2 linked regions of the Oryzias latipes genome follow. Each later gene encodes a partner of the first gene's protein in a complex. Links are inferred from orthologs where the notes say so. Each region holds a gene or a part of one and is shown in the gene's direction. Other genes may lie near its edges. The genes, in order: supt16h and ssrp1.

The links.
Region 2: supt16h (region 1) and ssrp1 share a complex: the UniProt entries of both Homo sapiens proteins name them as parts of the FACT complex. The link is inferred for Oryzias latipes from reciprocal best matches to the Homo sapiens genes SUPT16H and SSRP1.

What each region holds. Positions count from the first base shown.
Region 1 is NC_019876.2:21,322,552-21,333,966, reverse strand, and holds the start of supt16h (FACT complex subunit SPT16), read left to right. Parts: upstream 1-4,554; 5' UTR 4,555-4,848; coding exon 4,849-4,914; intron 4,915-7,650; coding exon 7,651-7,743; intron 7,744-7,821; coding exon 7,822-7,992; intron 7,993-8,074; coding exon 8,075-8,227; intron 8,228-8,309; coding exon 8,310-8,456; intron 8,457-8,611; coding exon 8,612-8,763; intron 8,764-9,299; coding exon 9,300-9,472; intron 9,473-10,567; coding exon 10,568-10,658; intron 10,659-11,415. Other genes in the region: tox4 (TOX high mobility group box family member 4), read left to right, coding at 144-791, 872-1,026, 2,490-2,547. UniProt on the Homo sapiens protein: Component of the FACT complex, a general chromatin factor that acts to reorganize nucleosomes. The FACT complex is involved in multiple processes that require DNA as a template such as mRNA elongation, DNA replication and DNA repair.
Region 2 is NC_019868.2:14,001,156-14,012,650, reverse strand, and holds the start of ssrp1 (FACT complex subunit SSRP1), read left to right. Parts: upstream 1-5,413; 5' UTR 5,414-5,505; intron 5,506-6,137; 5' UTR 6,138-6,142; coding exon 6,143-6,196; intron 6,197-6,935; coding exon 6,936-7,121; intron 7,122-9,698; coding exon 9,699-9,804; intron 9,805-10,025; coding exon 10,026-10,219; intron 10,220-10,329; coding exon 10,330-10,430; intron 10,431-11,495. Other genes in the region: clcf1 (cardiotrophin-like cytokine factor 1), read right to left, coding at 3,733-3,751. UniProt on the Homo sapiens protein: Component of the FACT complex, a general chromatin factor that acts to reorganize nucleosomes. The FACT complex is involved in multiple processes that require DNA as a template such as mRNA elongation, DNA replication and DNA repair.

The sequences.
Region 1 (11,415 bases):
AGCAAAAACCTTTTACTGAAACAGACCGGTGTTTGTTTCTCCTTTGGGTACTGGGGGGCCAGACCCCTTTTGGCATGTGTTTTTAATGTTGCTGTCATCTGCGCTCAGATGAGTCTCACAACTGACTAATCTGCTCTCCTCAGGCCCCCATAGAAGTCATGGACACCGCTCCATCGCCCCCACCTCCAGCCCCTGTCCCCGTCGCTGCTCCTGCAGTCCCCGCTGCACCTGCCACACCTCCAGCCCCCCGTGCCCCCAGGTCACAGCACTACAACCCAGAAGAGAACACCATCACCAACATCTGCACCTCCAACATCATCCTGGACCTGCCGCAGGTCACCACGCGCTCCCGCACCGGTGCCATCAAGCCCCAGGCCCCACCCCCCAGCACCACGCCCAACCCCCCCACTGTCACAAAGATCATCATTAAGCAGACGCCGCTGCCCTCCGGGGGAGTGTCTGTCACTGCCACTGCTGCCCCGTCGTCCCGCCAGCCACCGCCGCTGCAGCACAGGCAGAACACCCCGCCCCCTCCACGGCTGCAGCAGATGGTACACGCCCAGGCCCCTCCGCCTCTGCAGCCCAAACCACGGGGCGGGGGCACAGCTGCCACCACTGCCCCACCCCCACTACAATTTAAGGTCATTCCTTCGTCCCGGCAGTCGGACTCTGCAATCGCAGTGACGTCAGTGGGTGAGGGGGCAGCGTCTCCCTCGGGCATGGTGGTGCAGGTGGGACAGAGCGGCGCCATGCTGACAAGAGGGGAGGACGTGGCAGAACCAGAGGAGGGGGTGGGTCCAACAAGTGTCTGAAAGGATTCTGGCTGTAGGTTGACACACATCATCCCAACTCTGTTTCTCCTCACCCTCAGATGGAGGTGGAGGTGAGCGTGGCCCCCGCCCCCAGCATAACCTCCACCTCCAGTCCAAACATCTGCGTTCGAGCGGGCTGCACAAACCCCGCGGTGGAGAGTAAAGACTGGGACCGGGAGTACTGCAGCAACGAGTGTGTGGCCACCCACTGCAGGTTTGTTCACAGAAAACAAGATGTTTGCACAAAATCCCAATCAGTCAAACCCGAAATCATCTTCCCGTTTTCCAACATCAAAACCATGTCAGCTCCATTTAGATCAGGTTTAGCTGCACACACATAGAATAAGAGCCTGAATCAAGTCAATGTAAAGGTTTGATCCATCTAATCTGATCCAGAGCAGGATAATTTCCAGGATAACATAATCATTCTCAATCTTGCGCTCTTCCCCCCTCTTTCCTGCAGCACGCAAGCGTCATCTCATAAACACGCACACACTAATTCCACAACACAGGCTTTTCTCCTTTCTTCAACAAATCTGATCACGGTTGCAGAGAAAGGCAGGTGTGGGTATCCAATCCGTACTGCAAAATGCGTCAACGTCTGGGTGGCTTTACCATTCTTTTGAGACGTTAAAACCACTTTTAACAACAATTATTACGTCTTCAAATGTCAAAGTTAGGATTAGGTCAATGTTAGGAACGTAAGACCCGCGGATATGCGGTCCCGAAGGGGGTTTGTTCATGTTCCGCTGCGAAAAAACTTGTCCAGCTACAGCCCCAAGATATGACAGCTCTTGAGAAGATCTGAATGGAAGAATGGACCAGAATAGCAGCTACAATGTCAATCTTTTTAATAGACCTACAGGAAACCTTTGACCTCTGTCATTGTCTCTGTTTTTCAATTACACATATGTGCAAACCCTTTTCAAAATTATAAAAATATTGAAAAAACAAGATTTCACAGTCAGATTGTTTCCATTAAATTATAATTATGGGAATAAACACAAACCAACTTAATCGATAAGTCATTCAAAAACATGGCGATGGATGTGAACAATATTTCAACTAATAAAATGATAATTTGACAGCAGATGCATTCAAATTTCTGCCATCTCTAGCGCTCATCTTCACCTGTCAAAGGAGACGTCTGCGTCTCATTCCAGCCATGGAGCGGAGAGCTCCTTATTATCGCAAATCCAATTTGCGCAATTTAATAGTCAATGGATACGCAGCTATTGACAACCAGGGTTACATCACAAAGAATTGAGGTAAACTTTTGCTGTTGACCAAATACTTATCTCCTGCAACATTATACAAAGAAATAATTTCTAAATCCTATAATGGGATTTCCTGGATTGTCACAGATTAAGCGTTTCTATGATGAACATTACAGACTAATTTCAATTTTTAAAGTGGAAAAACTTGCAGAATTTGTAGCTGACACCCCCCCCCACACACACACACACACATACACACACACATATCTTTACTTTTAAAATCAAAATGTTTAAAATAATAATAATAATTCAAAAGGTTGTAAAGATTCTAGATCAAGTCAGCATCTTGAGCTTATCCTGAATCTCCTTATGCTACTTTGGTGAATTGCTTTTCTGGGTTCTGTAAGACACTCAAACGTCACACGTTTTCTTTTCTCATCTTCTCCTGGCGGCTCTGCAGAGACGTGTTCATGGCCTGGTGTGCTATCCGCGGGCAGAGCTCCACCACCGTCACATAGGACCAGGACAAACCTGACAGCCGAGCACAGACAGAGTCCGACTCAGGGGCACCCGACAGCTGACTCCCGTCGTCCTGTCAGCGCGGGGACAAACGCTGAGCAGAAGATCTTCACCACCTCTTTTCTGCAGAAACTCTTTGGTTTCAAACACTGCAATTATGATGATGGCCACTGATCATTTCAACTTCAGACTCAACAAATTATGAACTTCTGGTGTTTTTAATTGTTTTGCAAAAAAAAAGAAAATATTGTTGTGGATGAATTCTTTATTTTTAGGTGCTTTAAAAACTCAACTTTGTGTGTATAATCTTCCCTTTACTGTTACTATGAGAACTAATCAATGTGAAGAGTTGTGTTGTTTGGGTGGCTGTGTTTGTGTTGATGAGAAAAGACCAACAACTGCACAAAGCCCTAGAAGCTGAAAGAGAGCGAGGAGGACAAAAGTCCAGCTCGGCTTCATGAAGATTCTAACAGGTGCTAACCTTTCTGTTCTCATGAATCCCTTTTTAAATTTCATGCCAAGTTTGCTTTTAAGGGGAGATTTGTGCTCAAAGGTCTTTTTTTTGAAGAGGTAAATTTAAATTAAAAGAGGTCAGCTCTGACAACACTACTTACCATGAGGGAAAAACAGTTGTTTTCTTTGCAAACATCAATCGCGTTTGGCTGTGAAAGTAGTCCAACAGAGACTAAATGCTTTGAAAAAATAAAACTTCCCAATGAGACTTATTGATGCAGTTATTGGTCTGATTTATTGTACATATCATGGAAATGTTTTTAATCATGAAATAAAATATTTTATGTTGTAATATACATTTTGACCTCATGATTGCAGATCAAGAACCAATTTAGTTTGATTCATTGACTGTATGGGTCAGCATAGAAATGTAAACTTAGGCCAACTTGACCAATCGCTGCTTACCGATTGTCTGGTTCCAACATCACGACAGCCGTATATCAAAAAATTAGCAGCCGAATGAGCCTTAATTCATTGGAAACAGAAGCAAGTCATGTTCTATGGGTGATATCACACTCACTTGATCCAGTTCTCATTTACAGTCAATGGTTTGATTCTAAGCTTTAATGTTAATTTATTAACCTTTATTAAAAAAAAATTAACTTCAACAGCATTTAGATTTTCACCCTTGTCTATTTTTTGCAAGGCTTTTTTTAAAAAAAACTTTTTTTTTCATAATTGGTTGACAGGTGAAAATATTACAATAGACTGTTTAAATTGAAATTCTGTTAGAAATAAAATGTACTTGAGTAATAAAAATTAAGACTTCATGATCAAAGGATTGATTTGAACCACAAAATAATTTTTCCACAACTGCAAACTCTTTAAGATGAAACCCCATATAAATCGGTTATATAAGTTATAACCAAGATACCAACACCGCAAGGAGAAGAAAAAAAATCCAATATGCTACTATATGCTACAATTGTTTAAACTCTTAGATTAAACCCCTCACAACTTTTGTTTTATTTATTTTATTTTTTCATTTAATTGATTTCATGTAAGAGTTCAGAGTTTTGATGTGCTCTATGTGTTCCTTTACTGTTGTTTCAACATGACATGATAGTGTTTTTCTGAAGATGGAGACGTCTTGATTTTAACATTTTACAATGATTCAATAAAAAAAACTTGTTGAATTTCCCCCGCAAATCTTGGAGGCTGCCAAGTGGACGTGGTATCGCGAGATTTACGTCAGCAGAACCTTTCGAAGATGGTGGCGGGAAAGGTCCTTCGTGGCGGGAAAGATTGATAGTCAACACACGGCAGGGGGCGCTGTGGCGACACTGCGGTTTACAACAAAATACGTCATTATGAATAAAATAAATGTATTAAACGCGTTGAAGTAAAATAAAAATGGCAGTTTTATTTTGAATTCTGTTAGGCTTACTTTACACTTTTATTCAATGGTTACCATGGAGATTTAGTGGATAAGTATACTGATCTCAATGATGAATATGCACAGAGGGGGAGGGAAAAGGCTCGGACTGTAGAGAGGGAGGGGTGAGCGTCTAATTATAACTGATTGGTGTATGAAAACAGTGGTAGATGAACAGTTTGAATTTGAGTAATTTTGATCATTTTCTTAACCCGTCGCTGGTTCTTGCATGAGCGCGTAGCTAGAAGGTTGCGGTTCTTATAAAGCCGAGCGCATCTGCAGTCAGTGCCGTTCGGACCTCGGCAGGCGTGGAAGGAAAGTGCGTTGTTGTTAGCTCACCATCATCATCATCCTCATCCGGCCTGCTGGGGAGGCCAAGCCGGGAGCTGGAGTTCGCAGCAGAGCGCTCGCCATGGCGGTTAACCTGGACAAGGAAGCGTACTACCGCCGCATCAAAAGGCTATACAGCAACTGGAAGGTGAGCCGCGCTCGGCCCGGAGCGGGTCGGTGTGCTGCAGAACCCGGTTAGAGGTAATTTTTGAGCAGAAGACATGATGAAGCCGCTGTGGGAGCCCAGAGAGAGTTAGCCGCGGGTTCACACCGGACCCAGCGGAGCGTTGAGGGTGCGAACGCTGATGTTCTCCAGACCGTGCAGTTACGGGTCGGTGTTTGTTTTGCGAATCTTTTAGGACACATTGGTAAGATACCCGCAGGGATCCTCGGTCCCGCATGCGACTGCCTCATGTTAGCACTGCGGTCCTCTCATTCAGTCAGTGGGTTAGCTAGTCTGCTAACTTGTTAACTTCACCAACCAGCTAACGGAGTACGACGGCTTATGGCCGCTCTTCATCGAAATGGACACACACATTTCAATGAAATGGTTCCGATAAAGTTCTACCGATCACAGGGCTGAGTGAGTTGAAGCTAAAGTTCAGCTGCTGCCGGTTTGCACTTTGTCCCAGCGCTACATGCTAATCTAGGATGCTAACAATTAGCATCACAGCATCAGCATCCCGGCTCCATGTGAAGCGCGCGGCGCCAGCATGGGACTCGTTTCTGCGGCATGTGCGGGTTTGGAAACTCAATTCTTACAGATGAACTTTTATCCCAGACCAAAGTTTCAGCTTCATATATGCTGCCTTTTTTCACCTGAAAACTTTAGGTTATGGTTCGGGTAGAGTAACAGGTTACTAAGTTACTGATAGAAGCCCCTTGTGCTGTGAGGAGTTTAAGGTCAAACATCACAACCAAACCCCTAGATCTATTTGTTTCACAAACTCAGGATTAGATTGTCTTCCATTCATCATCAACCCCTGCTTCATCCTGATCAGGGTCTCTGTGGCCCCTTGCAAAGACAAGCACAGCACCCCCCCCCCCCCCCCCCCCCCACAATCAGTCCCAGAACCACAAGACCCAAACTCTGATTTAGGCCAGTCGTGTGTCTAAACTGTGGGAGGAAGCCACAAACTTGCATGAATGGCTTTCCTCTAATGTCTAATCATGCCTTAGAGTGTGTTCATTTCAATAAAGTTTTTTGTTGACCCAACCTTGTAAAGGAGCAGAACTCCAATGGAGGGCAGCTGAAAGTGTTTTATTTGCCTCATTAAAGACTGAGAGATTCCAAAAGCCATTGTTCATGATTAAAATGTTAAAGAATGCATAACACATTTCCAAGTTTGTGTTTTTAATTAACACAGTAGTACTTTTATGAATCATCCAGGGAACCTAAAGATGCATTTATTTCAGGGCAGAAAGTTCCGAGCTGAGGTTATAACGCCTCTTAGTCTAGTCAGATCCCTGAAAAAGGAGGAGTAGAAGGTGAATGCACACCAAACCTGAGTGGAGGGCTGGGTTATTTAATCAATCTCATCGATACATTTGAATTTGTTGTGTGTATATTGATAAATCTGGATTTTATTTTCACAGCTCTCTTGGACTTCTGTTGTTCAGAGTAAGGTCAGCCTGCCCATTTCTCGCTATGCGCAGACATGAAAATAGCAGATCTGTTTTTTCCCCAGTTATTTATTTATCCGACTATACGTTTTTCCGGAGCACAAGTCGCATCAGCAAAAAAAAAATGCATAGAAAAGAAGGGGGGAAACCCCCCCACATATAAATCGCTCCGGAATATGTTTGTAGAACAACTCTGCCAACCCCGGCGTAATACTGCATTCACACCAAACCCGATTCATGCGTCACATCTGTGTTTGCTGCCAAAGCAGATGCTCAATGCTTGTCCAAAAATGTGTTCATCGGCTGGAGGCGCTTTCACGTGTGGTAGAAGCTACTGTCAAGTTTTTAGCCTCATCGCTACATAGAAGCATTGACCGGATAACTCTTTCACAATGAAATGAAACGACAAGAGATATTTTGAAGAGTTCTACAAAAGCTTCAGTAAACACATCTCCATGGCTGGGTTCATAAGACCTTTCAGTCCTTTAAAAAAAAAAATGTCTAGCAATCTTTTTTTTCCACTGCGTGTGAATGATGGCGCTTTCAGCTGTACTTCCTCGTCTCTGTAACCCAGTTTGATGACTTGCTGTCCCGCATTAGTCGGAGGAAGGAAAAATGAAAAACAATAATAATGTCTAGATGCAAGTAAGAAAAATATCACAAAGCTCAGGAAGACGACGATCAGATTCTCCTCCATTTTTTGTTCTTAAAGACGCTGCTTCATTCATCTCTGTTGCTGTCAGTCACAAATACCGATGCATACACTTACAGTGCCTTCTAGCAGCAACAACCGCTGAAGAGCAACTGGTTGTTGGTGGGAAAATAACACATATGAGCCTGTTCATGTTAAAAAAAAATCACACAAGTCTCTCCTGAGTGCTAGTTCACTGTGACTTCTACTCTGAAAAAGACAGTTAAATGGAACTCGTTCAATTTTGTGACTTCAGACTTGGAGCAACAAATTGCATGATGCAAAAAATGTGTGAAAACTGTTGCTAACAAAGGTAGAACAACAGCGAATTAGTTTTTTACACCTGAAGCAGGTGAACTCTCAAAGGAGATGTTAAAGTGATAGTTTTTTTTAGATGTAGTTTGTCATTTTTGTAAAAAAGTATACTGAGAAAGGAGGAAAAAAAAAAAAAGACAGTTAACATTGGAAATCACATTTAGTGGGAAAAAAGTCTTTTTTTTTTTTTTTTTTTTTTTTTTGGCTTAGCCTGACCGTAATTCCAATGAATGTGTGTCTTTGTGTACATTCTAGAAAGGAGAGGATGAGTTTGGTAAAATTGATGCCATCGTAGTTTCTGTGGGGGTCGATGAGGAGATCGTGTACGCCAAATCCACCGCCATACAGGTGAGCTTCCAGGGTCTGAGGGGAGGCCAGAGACGGGCCGCCGTATTTTCAGCTGACCGGCATGCTTTTGGCCCTCAGACTTGGCTGTTTGGCTACGAGCTCACGGACACCATCATGGTGTTTTGTGACACCAAAATCATCTTCCTGGCCAGCAAGAAGAAGGTGGACTTCCTCAAACAGGTGGCTGTAACCAAAGGCAACGAGAACGCCAATGGAGCCCCGCCCATCACTTTGCTCACTAGAGAGAAGGTGAGTCGGGGAGTTTTTCATGTAGAGCTGTCAGACTTTGAAGCAAAGATTTGTTCACCAGCTTTGACCTTTCGCCTTTCAGAATGAAAGCAACAAAGCCAACTTTGATAAGATGATTGAGGCGATCAAGGGCAGCAGAGAGGGGAAGACGGTGGGAATCTTCAGCAAGGACAAGTTTCCTGGAGACTACATGAAGAGCTGGGGCGACGCGCTCAACGCTGAGGGTCTGGAGAAGGTAAGGGGGCACGCGAGCAGATGCCCAGGCCAGCTTCCTCTGTTCACGCCTCTGTGATCACGCCGCTGCCACGTGGGTGCAGGTGGATATCAGTGCCGTGGTGGCCTACACCATGGCGGTGAAGGAGGACGGGGAGCTGGGTCTGATGAAGAAAGCAGCCGCCATCACCAGCGAGGTTTACTCCAAGTTCTTCAAGGAGCGCGTCATGGAGATCGTTGATGCCGACGAGGTGAGAGGAGCGGGGCAAACGGAGATCTCTGCAGGTCAACATACGGGAACATCAGATCTTCTTTCTCTTCGTAAACCCACGGACTGCGGCTTTGGTGGTCCTGAGACGGGCGCTGTGCTGGCTTTCCCTGTTTGAATGCATCTGTTCCTCAACAGAAAGTGCGTCACAGCAAGCTGGCTGAGTCGGTGGAGAAGGCCATCGAGGAGAAGAAGTACCTGGGCGGTGCAGACCCGTCCACAGTGGAGATGTGCTACCCCCCCATCATCCAGAGTGGGGGCAACTACAGTCTGAAGTTTAGCGTGGTCAGGTGAGTGATGGCTCTGGCACAAAGTCCCGTAGAAACTCTTTTCTGACAGCAGCTCATCACTCAAAAGTCAGAGGTTTGATCAGAAAGCTCAAGGAAGCTCCAGCTCTGAAGAATTTTCCAGAATCCCTTAATGTGATAGAGGGAATTTTTTGGTTTGAGGAGGTCTGTGTGAGGACTGTTAGCTCAACATCAGGCCTGGAGAGGGTTCCTGTTTGAAGAGAGTGTTCAACTTCAGCATGTTTTTCAAAGGAGCTTCTTCTTGGTGCAGTTTGTGCTTGTCACCACCAGGTGGCACTGTACCTCAAAGGAAGGAGCTGTTTCTTTGTTCCGTCACAGCTTTAATCACTTTTAAATAAAATGTGTTTTATTTCAACCATATAGGTCGCAGTGAGTCAGTTCTGGTTGATGTTTAAAGTGTTCAGACCTGGATATCCAAAAGTAAAATGGCTAAAAAGAAATCCTCCTGATTTGTGGCTCCTCATAAAGCGCACTGGCTGACTTATTTCTTTCTTTATTTTCTGATACCGTCGTCTCAGTGATAAGAACCACATGCACTTTGGTGCCATCACGTGTGCCATGGGCATCCGCTACAAGTCCTACTGCTCCAACCTAGTTCGGACCCTGATGGTGGACCCGTCCCAGGAGATGCAGGACAACTACAACTTCCTGGTTCAGGTGGAGGAGGAGCTGCTGAAGGAGCTGAAGCACGGTGCGTTCATGAGCTGCCTGTGACTGTGGGAACTTTAGGTTCTGGTGGACGTTTTCTTGTAAAGTCTTGTGGTCAGGTGGACTTCAGTCTATTAGTCGAAACATTTAAAGATGATCGAAGGAACTGTCCTTCCTCTGAATTTTAGTTTAGAAAACATTCCAAACAAAAATCCTTTTTGCGTTTGTGTGTGTGTGCAGATCTTTTAGAACAGTTACAAACGTTTTGTGAATCGTTCCATCATTTTTACTATTTAGATGTAATTTATTATGTCTGAATGGTTGGTATATCAATCTCTTTTTTCCTGGATGCATGGAAATTAAAATGTATTTAATACCAGATAAACAGAACAGATAAAAACACAAAGATTTTCAAAGAAAGGAACGATATGTCGCTTGAATGTCAGACTCAAACATTTTTCTGTCAACTGCCTGGTTCACTTCAGCAGTAAACAAAACATAAATGTTAGTGTTGCTTTTAATGATTTAACAACAAATCTTAATTTTTTCCACCTAAAGTTTTGCTGCCTACAGCTGCAATAGATGGAAAGGAAGAAGATAGCAGATAAAGATGCAGTAACACCTGCATAGAGATGTAACGACTAGAAAAGACTTGCAGTCCTTTCATCTAAAGTTCCTGTGCTCTCCAACCCTGTTCCTAATCCTGCTTCAGTAATGGCTGATTAGCTGGATCGGGGGAACCGGGTCCATTACTGAAGCAGGATTGGCTGCAGGGCAGTAGCTCACGAGGATCAGGGTTTCTGACTAGGGCTGGGAATCACCAAGAATTCCAGAATCGATTCGACTCACCAGAGCCTGGATATAATCTGTTTATCTGACAGGACGGCTTTTTCTGCAGAGCCTCCTGTCCTTTAAAAGCCTGAAGAGGCTAAAGTGACAATATTTAGATCATAATCCAAATTGCATAAAAAGCCGTGTTGACTGAAGTCATGATTTAGGAGTCATCTTGAATCTCCATCAGAAGATTTCCTTTTTTTTTTTTTTCTTTTTAGACATCCTGATTTGGGGTTAGAGGTCAGCAGTAGAGTTGTGTTGGTTTAGATTGTGTGATGGTGACATTTCTGTCCTTCTCCTGCAGGCGTAAAGATCTGCGACGCCTACAACGCCGTTCTAGAGTTTGTGAAGAAGGAGAAGCCTGACCTGGTGTCCAAGCTGACCAAAAACCTTGGGTAAAACTGGACGATGTGGAATTTTTTGTATCACAATCTAGGTTTTTTTCTATCAGGCAATAACTATATATCACTATATAATCCTAATAACTCTATTGGTCAAATTTGACAAATATAAGACAAATGTGTAATCATCAGCAGGTTGTTTGGATTTAAATATCTATTTCCTATCATACTTTAAACATAACAAATTCTCTGAAGGAGCACGAAGCAACCATTTTCTTTTTCTTTTCTTTTTTTAAGATGAGAAATAGCATTTATACTACAAACTAAACTGAAAGTTAAAGCAAAAGCCTTCAAGTTTTAAAAGAGAACTATTTCTAGTTTCAGAAGGAACATGCCTTCTGCACGGTTCATGTTACTCTGTTTTGATCAGACCTGAAATAACTGCAATACCTCCACACTGAGGCCGAATCTAAGTTTTGAGTCAGCGGTCAAAGTAGAACACCATTTTGTACAGAAATACCATCTGAATTTTTATAGAAGAAAATGAAAGTGCATAAATGTAATTTCTAAATGGTGTGAACTTGTCTTTATTGTCATCTAACTTTAATTCAAACATGCAGGGAAAACACAAGAACAGATTTAATTCTGCTTCCAGGTGATCACATTTTAGAGTAAATCAAACAAAAACAGTCTGAAAACAGTATCATGTTTATGTTTATTGGTATTGTACATCATTGACATTAAAGCTGCAGCTCTCACGAGGGAACGGGGTGGGGAGATGCAGCACCTCATCTGTCAGGTCACAGTTTTT
Region 2 (11,495 bases), on another chromosome or scaffold:
AATTGAATTTAAAATCCTACATAGTTATAATAAGTTTTGGAGGGAAAAGAACTGATTAAAATACGTTTTTGGCCTTAATGTTTGCTTTAAAATGTCTTGATGTTGTGTATTTTAATTCTCTCCAGCCATATCAACTTTTTATCCTTTGAATTGGCATGTAAACCAAGAAATTCCCATGGAGGTGTAAACCAAAAAACTTCCTAAAACACAAAATGTTTAGCATGCGTTGGAATTTTGGATTCCCTCAGCAGTCAGATTGAGCCAGTTTGGGGTTGGAACTACTGTAGGAGCCATCACTTAAGTGATTTAAATTAAAATTTCAACTCAATAGTCCAGGCTTTGACTGGAATTTGAACAGCTAATCCAATAATATCCAGATTCACCAAGAATTCCAGGGGTCTTCAAAGCTGGACATAATAATCCAAAACTCAAAGGTTCCTCTGGTCCTACAAACCTTTTCCATTATTTTTAAATCAGCTGTCTCAGCTCCACTGTTTTAGATTCTGTCCCACAGTCTTGTTCTCTACATACAAATCATCAGAACATCTGTTTCATCTAACTGTAGAGCTCTATACACCACATGTGTGTTGACTAAAATCAACACGTTTTTGCCACTAAATAGAAATGTTTGTCGTGCTTTTCACAGCATGCGCAGCCATCTGCACCTTGATTTGCATAATTGCTGTCATGCAGCTGACATGCTGGAGTTTGAGCAGGAGAACCTGTTGACAGGAGGGAGTCAGCAGAGCCAAACTCATGGGAGCTGGTTTTTTTCTTCAATCATTTTTTTTCTTGAAAGGATTCAGCTACTTTGTACCTGACGGCGATTTAGTCTTCAGTCACAAGTCTTTCCTTCTGAATAAATGTGCTTCTGAAATAATTCATCAACCGAATGATGGGAGGGATAGAGTCCCAGGAGATGTGGACAGACACACACGTGTGTGTGTTGGGGGGGGTTTAGTGGTTGACAATCTGACATTAGAGCACTATTGTGTGCCTGCGTACAGTTACAGGCCAGATTTATGTGGAGTCTGCACTCAATCAAGTATGCATTCCTTTACTAACTCAACACACACACAAGTGTATCCAGACTGTGTGGATCTGTGTATCCACGGGCATCATTCTGTCCCAATCTAAAGCAAACAAACCACTTAAACACACACACTCCAGCACAAATCAACACGCTTTTATCTCATGAGATTGAGGTTTTCATAATCCCTCTAAGGATGGACCTCTCATGGGTGCACTTGCTTTGGAAACATCAGGCGACCCAAGAACAACACGACAGAAAGCGCCTTTATAAACTCAATAAAAGTTATTATTTATCCCCAGATACTCTGTGAGACTATTTCTTGCCATAAAACTCAACAGTCGTCTTTGTTTCCCTCCTCGTCTGTTGTCTGTCTTTCTTCTCACTTTATAAGCCAATCAATGTTTTTCCTTTTCTTCTTTGTTCTCAGACGACCGCAGCCGCTTCATGTTTTATCATCATGTTTGGTTTCAATTCTGTTTTTTTTTTCATCTCTCACACTGCTCAGTAAATTTCTCGGAAACATCAAGCTTCCACATCTGACAAAATCTTTTCTTTCCCTCTGAGTAAATCCACTCAATCTCCTCCCTTGATCGATTTTATCCTTTCTCAATAAAAATTTTCATTTACTTGCACCAAAATAGTTAATATTATTTTAATCAAAATGAAAATTTAACCCCATTTGTACCACGAAATTTTGTTCAAAAGCTTTACTTATCTTCTTTTTTTTGACACACCTCCTTTTTTAATGAGTTTCTCAAACATTTGTTACGTCAACAGGACACTGGGTTAAGCTGACGGAAAAAATTTTTTTTTGTGGAACCACAAATTGTGGATAACCATTAATTCAGATACTTTTGGCCTATTTAACTTTTGTTGGACATAGATTTTTTCATTTTTCTTTGTTATTTAGGTTTTGACAGCAAAATTAACCAGTGTGGTAATATAACATAAAATGTGATGCCAGGTCTTAAAGTCCCACAGCTTTAAATCTATTTTAAAAGCATTCCCGGTCATTTTTTTTTCTATGTTAAAAGGTGTTTCCTTTCATATTTTTTAAAGATTTTTCTGCCGTTAGTGTCACAGAAAGTTTTCTGAATGTGCTTTCCTGATGTACTTCTTTCACCTCTATTTCCAGTTTTTGCAACAACAAAAAAAATGTTCCCTGAAATCTTACACCTGAATTAACAGTAGGTATTACTTAAGCAGAGGGTACAGAACTAAAAAAAAAACAGCATCATAGTCTGGGAACAAGCAGGATATTTTGTAGTCTTGAAGGACAGAGACAGAGGGAAAAGAGGAGGTGGAGGTGGAGGAAGAGGAAAAGGTGGAGGGAAGGGGGAGTTTTCTGAAGCGAGGGGCCATGTTAATTTGGGAAAAATGTAAACAGCATGTGTAACTGTTCAAAGCGTGACCGGCTCATTTTATATCATTCCCCCCTTCGCTCTTCTCTCTCCTCCCCTCCGGGTGCTGCTAACTTCTGTCAATCTGTAGTGCATTAACCCCTCGGCCGCCGCTTCCCTTCTTCCTCTCCATGGACTTTTATCCGTCTTTAAGCTCCCTCATCCTAACTCATCCACGGAGCCCCCACCACTCCGCCCCTCCTCACATCCTCTTGATATATATGTACCATGAAGAATTGAGGATGGCTTGAGAGAATCAAAAGGTTCAGTTTATCCTCCTTCTTCCACATCCCCTCCTCTTCCCTTCTTCCTTTTGTCTCCCCTGATTGGCTGTTGTTTTCATTGACACACCAGGGCTTTCAGGCTTTCTTTGCAAGCTTTTTTGCCCCGTATGTGAGAAAATAAAACTCACATTGTGTATGTACCTGGAGAGATGAATGCTCTGTTTGTGTCAGAGGTGACATGCTGTGCAGCAGCGTATTTGTTTGCTCTGTGTGTCAGAAAGAGCTGCAAAGCGTTTGTATTTATTTTTCTTGTAAAGTTAGACTAAATTTGCAGTGCAAGTCATAGTGTCCCCACCTAAATGGGGTGAAGAGGACCACGGAGGAAGGCTGAAATGTGGGAAGATGTTTTCTGAAATGCCTAATTTCATCACAGAGCCATCCCTCAGTAGACTGTCCTGTCTTTCTTTCACCTCCTTTCCCCACCTTTCCTAGACGAGGAGCAGCAGCCGTGGCGGTCCTCCCAAGAGGGATGAAATTTGTGTGTGTCCTCTCACACCCTGACTAACGTGAATCATATACTTTCTCATATCAGTGACAGATAACGAGACAGGGGCTCCTCAGCTGCTCTGACCTCCAATACCTCCGTCAGGTCTCGCCCCATTTGTTTCCAAGCTATGCCTCATGTTTAACTAAAATCCAATTAGCAAATCTTTTTTATTCGTTGTACAAAATAACTAATTCTCTAGCTAATAATATTTCACTTTTGATTTTATTTTAGAAGAATCAAATCTTAACTTTTAACCTGCAAAGAAATGATTCTCTTTGTACTTGAATAGACTATAATAACGGTTTAAGTAGTTTGGTTAAAACAAGTGAATTTTCTTTTTTTTCTTTTTTTTTATAAAATGTGTCTTTAAATATGCAGCAAAAAAGTAGGCTACAAGACAAAATATTTGATTGGACAAATCATTTTTACGAAACCATTTTAAAATATATACATTTACATGCAAAGCTTGGACAAAGATGTTAAAATTCATTTTAGTTTTCTTTTTAGAGTTTCATTGAATGCACTCACCTCCCTTGAAGCATTTCATCTTATTCCGTTCACAGCTTCCTTGCAGATTGAACAGACAAACTTTTCATCACGTGTTCAGTAAAAACCTGCTCCCTTCTGCTCGGTGGAAGATGGAAAAATGCAGATGATGCTCTGTCTTGATCCTTTATACAATTATTATAACTTTTTAATGAAATAACTTTTCTCGGTTTAAACGCAAAAACGATCCTCTCACTTGTGTGGTCTGTGTGACAGACTGCGGAGCCTTTTTGTACCTCCTCCACCTCCTCCTCTTTTTTTCTTCCTTTTAACTCATTTTCCTGCCCTCCTTTTCATCCCTGTCTCTTCTTCTTTCCTGGTTATTCCTCCTCCTCGGTGCTGGTGAATCACCGGGTTGACGCACCAGAGCGCAACTTTGACAGAGGCGCTGAACCTCGGGACTTGTCACAACTCATTCCTGTCTCTTGTCCCGTCCTCATCCCCACGAACACGTTTTGACTTCAGCTGTTTGATCTTTAATCTACTTCCCGCTAATAAGGTATCGAGTCGGAAAGGATCCTTTTCAGGACAACAAAGGAAAAGGTCCAGGAGTTACGCACACTCAAAAACTTTCAGAGAGAAAATAAAAAATGGAGAATAAATGGGAATAAAAAGATGTTATAATTGTCGTTTTTTAACGAAAAATTAGATAATTACAAACACAGATCATAAATGCGATATTTCGTCATAAAATCGGTGTAGTAAATTGTACAGTAATAAAAAACGGTGAGAAAAAAACTAATATTCATATTAAAAATAAGCGTCAAGATCTGAGAATTGCGTTGTACACCTCGCTAATCTAACTTTTTCATTTTATTTTTTTAACAACCGCGATTTACCTTCAGCAGTCACGGTTTACAAATCCGTGTTTGTGCTAAAACAAAAAAGATGAAATAGTAAAACTCCTCTGACTGAGTCTGGGCCTCATGCGTAAAGTCCCGCGCCGATAAAAAAAAAAAATATATATGTATATAAAAAAAACGTTCGTGTCTGTTTTAATAAAGCGGTCTGGTTAAATTCAGGTGCTAGCTTCTAAATAAAAAAGAGAGAAAAATATAGAGTTAGAGAAAGCACGGGAGTTCAGCCCATAAAACTGTGCTAATGACTGACAAGATTTCTTTGCCAGGGGTCTGTAAACCACACTCCTCTGAGTTAATAGGATGCGTGCCCAGAGGCCGCTTTTGAGAACTAACTTGACTTACCTCGTATGTTTTGCTTGTTTTTTATTTATCTTGTTAACTGCTTTTTATTTATTTTATTAATTTTCCAATCACAATACGGATGCATTAAATAATCTACACTCAAGCGATTGTTATGTCTTGTTTAGTCTTTTACTAGCTGATCTCAACCCCCAATTGTTCGTTAAATGCCATTTTTAACTTCAATTAAAGTTTTAATACCCTAGAATCTATTTTTTAGATCACTTTAAAAGTGTTAACTGTTTTTGAATTGAAAAACCTGTAGTTTTCAATAACCAATTTCCTAGGATGTGTTGTGTGCCACCTAGCGGCAGTAAACAGTCACTGCACTTGACTCTTTCATGAGCACATTCAGTGATAGCCGCAATAACGAACATAAATCATCGATTTATCCGTAATTTTAAACCCTTTTCATTATTTTTTTCAAACAAAAAAAACCACAACTATAAATCAAAACAATGAACCGGAAGTACATTTATAACCCAGCGTTTCCGGTGACGTAACGCTAGCATCTGATGCTACACGCGGGAAACAGGCAAAGCAGCACGAAACAGAGGTAGTAAGATTTTAAGTTATTTATTTGTGTTTCGATGTGAAAGTATAGCTTGTTTTTTAACCATTTGTTATTTTGGTGGTTGTTTCGTGGTAGACAGACTATCACCAAATCGCTAAAGTAACGCTAACGTTGCTTTCTGTAAAAAAAAAAAGAATCGGCCCGTCTCTTTTAGGTACGTTTGATTTAATGACCGCTTTGTCCCTATCGGGCGGCTTTAGGGTACATGCTGGTACACATGGTAACATTTTTGTCTTGACCGAGTGGTGTAACATAAAATTAGCGCACTTTGCATAACTAACGTTAGCTTAGCTGAAGTAAAATGACAGTCTCTGCGAATAATGAAAGCATTCCTTTTCTTTAAAAAATATTTGTGTTACTATTATGTACTGCCCCTTTCAAGAATTATTTCATTTTCTTAATACCCAAATATTCGGTCAGACATAAATGTCTGCACAGTGCAACACTAACTGAAAGCCAAATTTACATTTTTTTAAAATATTAGTTCGTAAAGCAACATTTTCTGATGATCTGATTTTAATGTGTCTGTAAACATCACGTTGAGAACGCATGATATAAATACCACTGGTCTTTATTTTTATTTCAATGCCCTTTAAGTTGTTTTCTGCCTGCAGGCATCATGGGTGATATGCTGGAGTTCAACGAGATTTATCAGGAAGTGAAAGGCTCTTGGGTTTGTATATGTTATTTTTCTGTATCTCCTCAATATTCTGAATTTTTGGACATTTTAGCATAAAATGTTGGTCAAACAAAAATCTAGTTACATAAGAAGCCATATGCTACAGATCATGAAGTGGTCAGTTTGTTCTGTAAACGTTTTTTAACCTAAAAACTATGTTTTTTTGTCCTTTTTCTGACTTTTTGTAGTCTTAAGTGGGTTATGTTGTTTTTCGAGACCTTCTAATTGTGTTTCACCAGAAAAAAAATAAATAAAAAAAACTGCAAGAATTAATGTCTAATCGTTCAGCTTTTTGTCTGAAATTCAGCTCAGTGTTGTTTTTCTTCATCAATATAATCCAAAGGGACCATTATCAGAACATTCCACCACACTTTATGGTCACATGTCTTTGCCAAATTTAAAGTGTTTCCACACTAAAATGACGTCTTAATCATTTTTGGCAACCATCAATATAATCCATTTATTTCATTTCATTCAACGGTATAGGTTGATTCAGATAAGAGAAAATGACCTCAGACAGATCATTCTGGCTGGATTGTAGGATTACACAATGATTTGTCAATTAAGCGTTACACTGGTGAAAAATACATTTGCAGACTATTCTGTTGTTAAGAAAAACATTCTTTTTTATCAGTTCCCAATCTATTAGTAGATTTTGTTCTTTTGATGTTTTTTAAAGCAAATACTTTCTGCATTTTCACAGAGCTTTTTCTTTGTTTTATTGGTCTTTCAGAATGACGGACGGCTACGGTTCAGCAAACAAAATGTGGTTTATAAGAGCAACAAGACGGGGAAGGTGGACAGCATTCCTGCTGGTGAGCTCAACTTAGCGCAGTGGAGGCGAGTGTGCTTAGGTCACGGCATCAAACTCGGCACCAGCACAGGACACGTGTACAAGTATGACGGCTTCAGGGACACGGTAAGTTACCCACGTGCCCACCTAAGTGTTGTTGCTTTTGGATATTTTTATTGCGGTATTGGCTTCTTCTTTTTTTTCCAGTCTCTTAACCTGTTCCTTCTCTTTTTGGGACGTGTGTCAGCTTTTTCCATGTAGAATAGTGGAACATTTCAGCCTGACACATTCCACTGCTATGGTCAACCTTTTGTTTATGGTAAAGAGCATAACACAAGCAGTGGGGCCTCTGATAAGCAACCCCCCCTGCTTGACGTTTCCCCCGAAAAACACTACCATCTTGCGAAAATGCCACCACTGGAGCTCGCATGGGCGTTTGTGCGCATGTGTTCTGTCAGAACTTTGTGAATAAGTCTGCTCCTTTTCTCGAAGCTCCTAATGGGATTAATGAGGGAAACCAGTGCTAGCATATGCGTTCCATAAACAGTGCAATCATCGGCTCTTGTGAGTCAGTGTTTATATCTATCCACCAAAACAATTTGGCCCAGAAAACGAGCAAGAAATAAATGTGGTTGTGGTTGTTTTCTGTCACAGTTTTTTTTTTTTTTTTTACTATGGAGAATGTCAACAAGACTGGGATGAAGAAGAGGGTATAACCGGGACTGTGTGACAGTCTCCTGGGGTTAATCAGTATATTTTTCAGGGGAGATGGATCTTCTCCCCAGGTCCTGATGTCATTGTTTATTATCCCTCTCTTAGTGTCAGTAATCGAGAATTGGCTGAAAGTTGAGGCTGCTGGCGTGCTGAGCAGACACTTTGAATCATCTGCCCCTTTTGAGAAAGTCCAGTGAATTCCTTCCAGACGGGGGGGTCAACCTCCAAGTGTCATCAGTGGGATCCCATGTTTCCTGATCACGTTAAGAGTTCAGTTTTAACCCCCTGACAGGTGGTGTTGTGTGTCGCCTTTGAAAGCAAATCTTTGTTTAGTGAACTTGGATCCAGCAGATCTGATGGATTGTGATCACTCCGACTTGTAATTTTTCTTTAGAACAAGAAAAAACTGAACACTCTGACACTAATACCGTATTTTCCGGACTATAAGTCGCACCGGAGTATAAGTCGCACCAGCCCAAAAATGCATTATAAAGTAGAAAAAACACAGATAAGTCGCACTGGACTATAAGTCGCATTTTAACTTTCACAACCTTAAATGACACAATCATAGCAGACTGTTTATCTAATAATTTCACAGTAATTCTTTCTCTTACTTAATTATTTATTCCTTTCATGAAGCATCATTGGCCAACTAATACTCTGTTTTCATCCTGTATTTGTAGAAACAGTTTTCACTTTTATTGCATTTCTGAATCTATGAAATCATTGGAAAATAGAATATTATGTTGTTAGCCTTCAAGATCTTACTGTAAAAAAAAGTTTGCTGATTCTCTGAGTCACTTAACATCCTCTTAACACTTAACATACCTCATACATCAAATTGACCCAGAAACATCATCTCTGTTCCTCACAAATGAACATAACAGGAGGGTTAACAATGTATTTATTTCAATTTATTTCTAATATAAGTCGCTGCGGAGTATAAGTCGCACCCCTTGCCAAACTATGAAAAAAGGGCGACTTATAGTCCGGAAAATACGGTATTTGTCACAAACACAATTGTGGAGTTTGTTGTTAGATTACTTAAGTATCAGGAAGTGGAAAGTAGAGTTTTTGCATAATTTTCTTCAAACTTTTAAAGAAGCAAAGTCATGTTATTTATAAACCAGAGTTCAATATGTGATTATTCATTTTGTAGGGAATTTTGTCCTGTTACAACCTGTAACCTTTATCCTTTTTTTTTCTGAGTTTAAATGTGCTCGGCTATGACACAGACGTTGGTCATCATGCTGCATGAGTGTGCGTGTGTTTGTGGGTGTGTGTGTGTGTGTGTGTGTGATGAAGGTGGGCTGAGTGTTTATTTGTATTAGCTGAGTTATGCAACAACAGTGAACAAGCGCTGATTTTTATGCAGCTACGCATCCGCTCCCACATGCTCTGTATCTAAACAGCTCTTTAATCCAGGTCAACAAACATGCTGATGAACTTCAGCACAGACACACACACACACACACACACACACACACACACACACACACACACTCTAATACAGTCATGCTGCCTCTAATTGGCTATAATAACCTTATGGACAAGCAGATATCCAGGTGTGTAAATTTGCTTTCCCACCGAGTCTGGTTCTTCCATGCACATGCAATTACTTCCACATGTGTTTGTACTACTGGAAGTGTGTGTGTGTATGTGTGTGTGTGTCTGTGTGTCACTGCTTTGTCGCTGTGTGCGAGTCCTTTGCAAGTTGTAAGCGGGCCTGAAGGATAAATAAACAGACTGATTGTCAGTTCTGGTTTGGAGTTGGGGCTGCACAGGGAAAGCGGGTGGATTACATTAACATCTTTTGCTCCTTTGTGTGATTAATAAACCACATCCTTCTTCCTACTTGGTGTTTTTTTATAAGCCGCGGCTCATGAAGAGTTTCTCCTTTTACTATCTTCCCCTTCTTCCCCCTCTTTAACACTTTCTATCATCACTACCTCAGTTCATGTGGCCTTTCATTCTTTGAACTCCCACCAGGATTTCGAGAAGCTCTCTGAGTTTTTTAAGGCCAACTACAAGATGGAGCTGGCAGAGAAGGACATGTGTGTGAAGGGCTGGAACTGGGGGACAGCAAAGTTCTCAGGTGACTTTTGGCCACAATCCCTGTTTTAAGATGCCTGTTTCATCCATGCTAAAGTATGAGGCAGTTACTGGCACAGGACGGCCACTTTGATCAATTCCATTCATTTAAACAGACTTATCAGATAAATATCAGTTCAATAATGTTTATTGTTGTTGAGATAATCGATATTGAGCGTCCACTGATGCATGGCAGCGTCTGTCTTCTCTCTCATCTCTCCTCAGGTCCGCTGCTGTCATTTGACGTCAACGACAACACAGCGTTCGAAATCCCCCTCTCCAATGTTTCCCAGTGTGCAACGGGAAAAAATGAAGTCACCCTGGAGTTTCACCAGAATGACGACACAGAGGTCTCCCTGATGGAAGTCCGATTTTACGTCCCCCCCAGCCAGGCCGATGAGCGACAAGAGTCTGTGGAGGTGAGCAGTCGGCTTCCAAATACTGGTCTCCGTGCAGAAACGCTCTTTATGAAGTGTTTGTGTTGTCAGTGTGATTGTGTCATTTGCAGAGGTTTGTTTTTTTCCTGTAGGCTTTTGCTCAGAATGTCCTGTCCAAGGCTGACGTCATCCAAGCCACAGGAGATGCTGTGTGCATCTTCAAGGAGCTGCAGTGTCTTACTCCCAGAGGAAGGTCAAATATCATATCCTATTGTCTGAAAAGCCGTCTTTCAACTCGTATTTATATCAGGTCCACCCATTCTCCAATCCATGCATTAGTGTGCGCTAGGGGTGCAACGTACGGATCACAAGCCACGGTTCGGCACACACGGGGACCAAAAATCACCCTCCTCTTGCACACTTCACATGTGCATCATTTACATGAACTGTCCGTTCACACCGAACGCAATTTGTGCACCAAATTCATGAACGCCGTCTTTGTTTTAACGTGCGTCAAAGTTGCTGCTTGAGGTTTTTCCAAAAATGTGTTAACCTGCAACTCCTGCCGCACTTTTCTCGACCTCATCACGGAGGACGAAGATCAGTACAGATCAGGTTCATTTATTTTGAAGAACTTTACAAAAGCGTAAAAAGCTGGAACCAGTGGGAGGGGCTTTATAGCAGGAAACACAGGGAAAGGAAGAAAAGTAGTAGAGTCTAACATCCCCAATTATCTTACTTATTTTTAAATTTAATTGTTTTTCAATATACAATGTCTCAAAGCACTTTTGCCTATGTGGGCATCTTTCATATGAAGGAATATCTTGAGTTCAAAGATCTCATTAATGTTTTATTTTTATAAATAGACCTCCATGAGCAAATATTTTGATGTTAGAATACATTTGTGTCTTTGTATGTTTTGAAGCTTTTCATATATGCTTAATCAAATCTATATTTTGAAGCTTTAAAATAATAATAACTGAAGACTTTTATTTTGTTTTTTTCCATTTCACTGATCTAAAAAACGATACGAACCGTGAGTTTTGTGATCCGTTGCACCCCTAGTGTGCAGCTGTTTGAGGCGGTGTATGTACCATAACCGTTCGGCCTGGAACTTCCGTTCGGGGTCCTGGGACTAATGCTGACGTCACATTATGTGATTGGCTGTCCGTTGGTCCGATGACGTGTCAGATAGTGGTTGGTCTGGACAAATTATGATACTACCAAAATATTATGAAGTCTGTTGTAAACAAACACAGCTTCGACATAAGCGAGATTGTCTTCTAAACGTGCCTTTATTATTAATATTAAATGCACG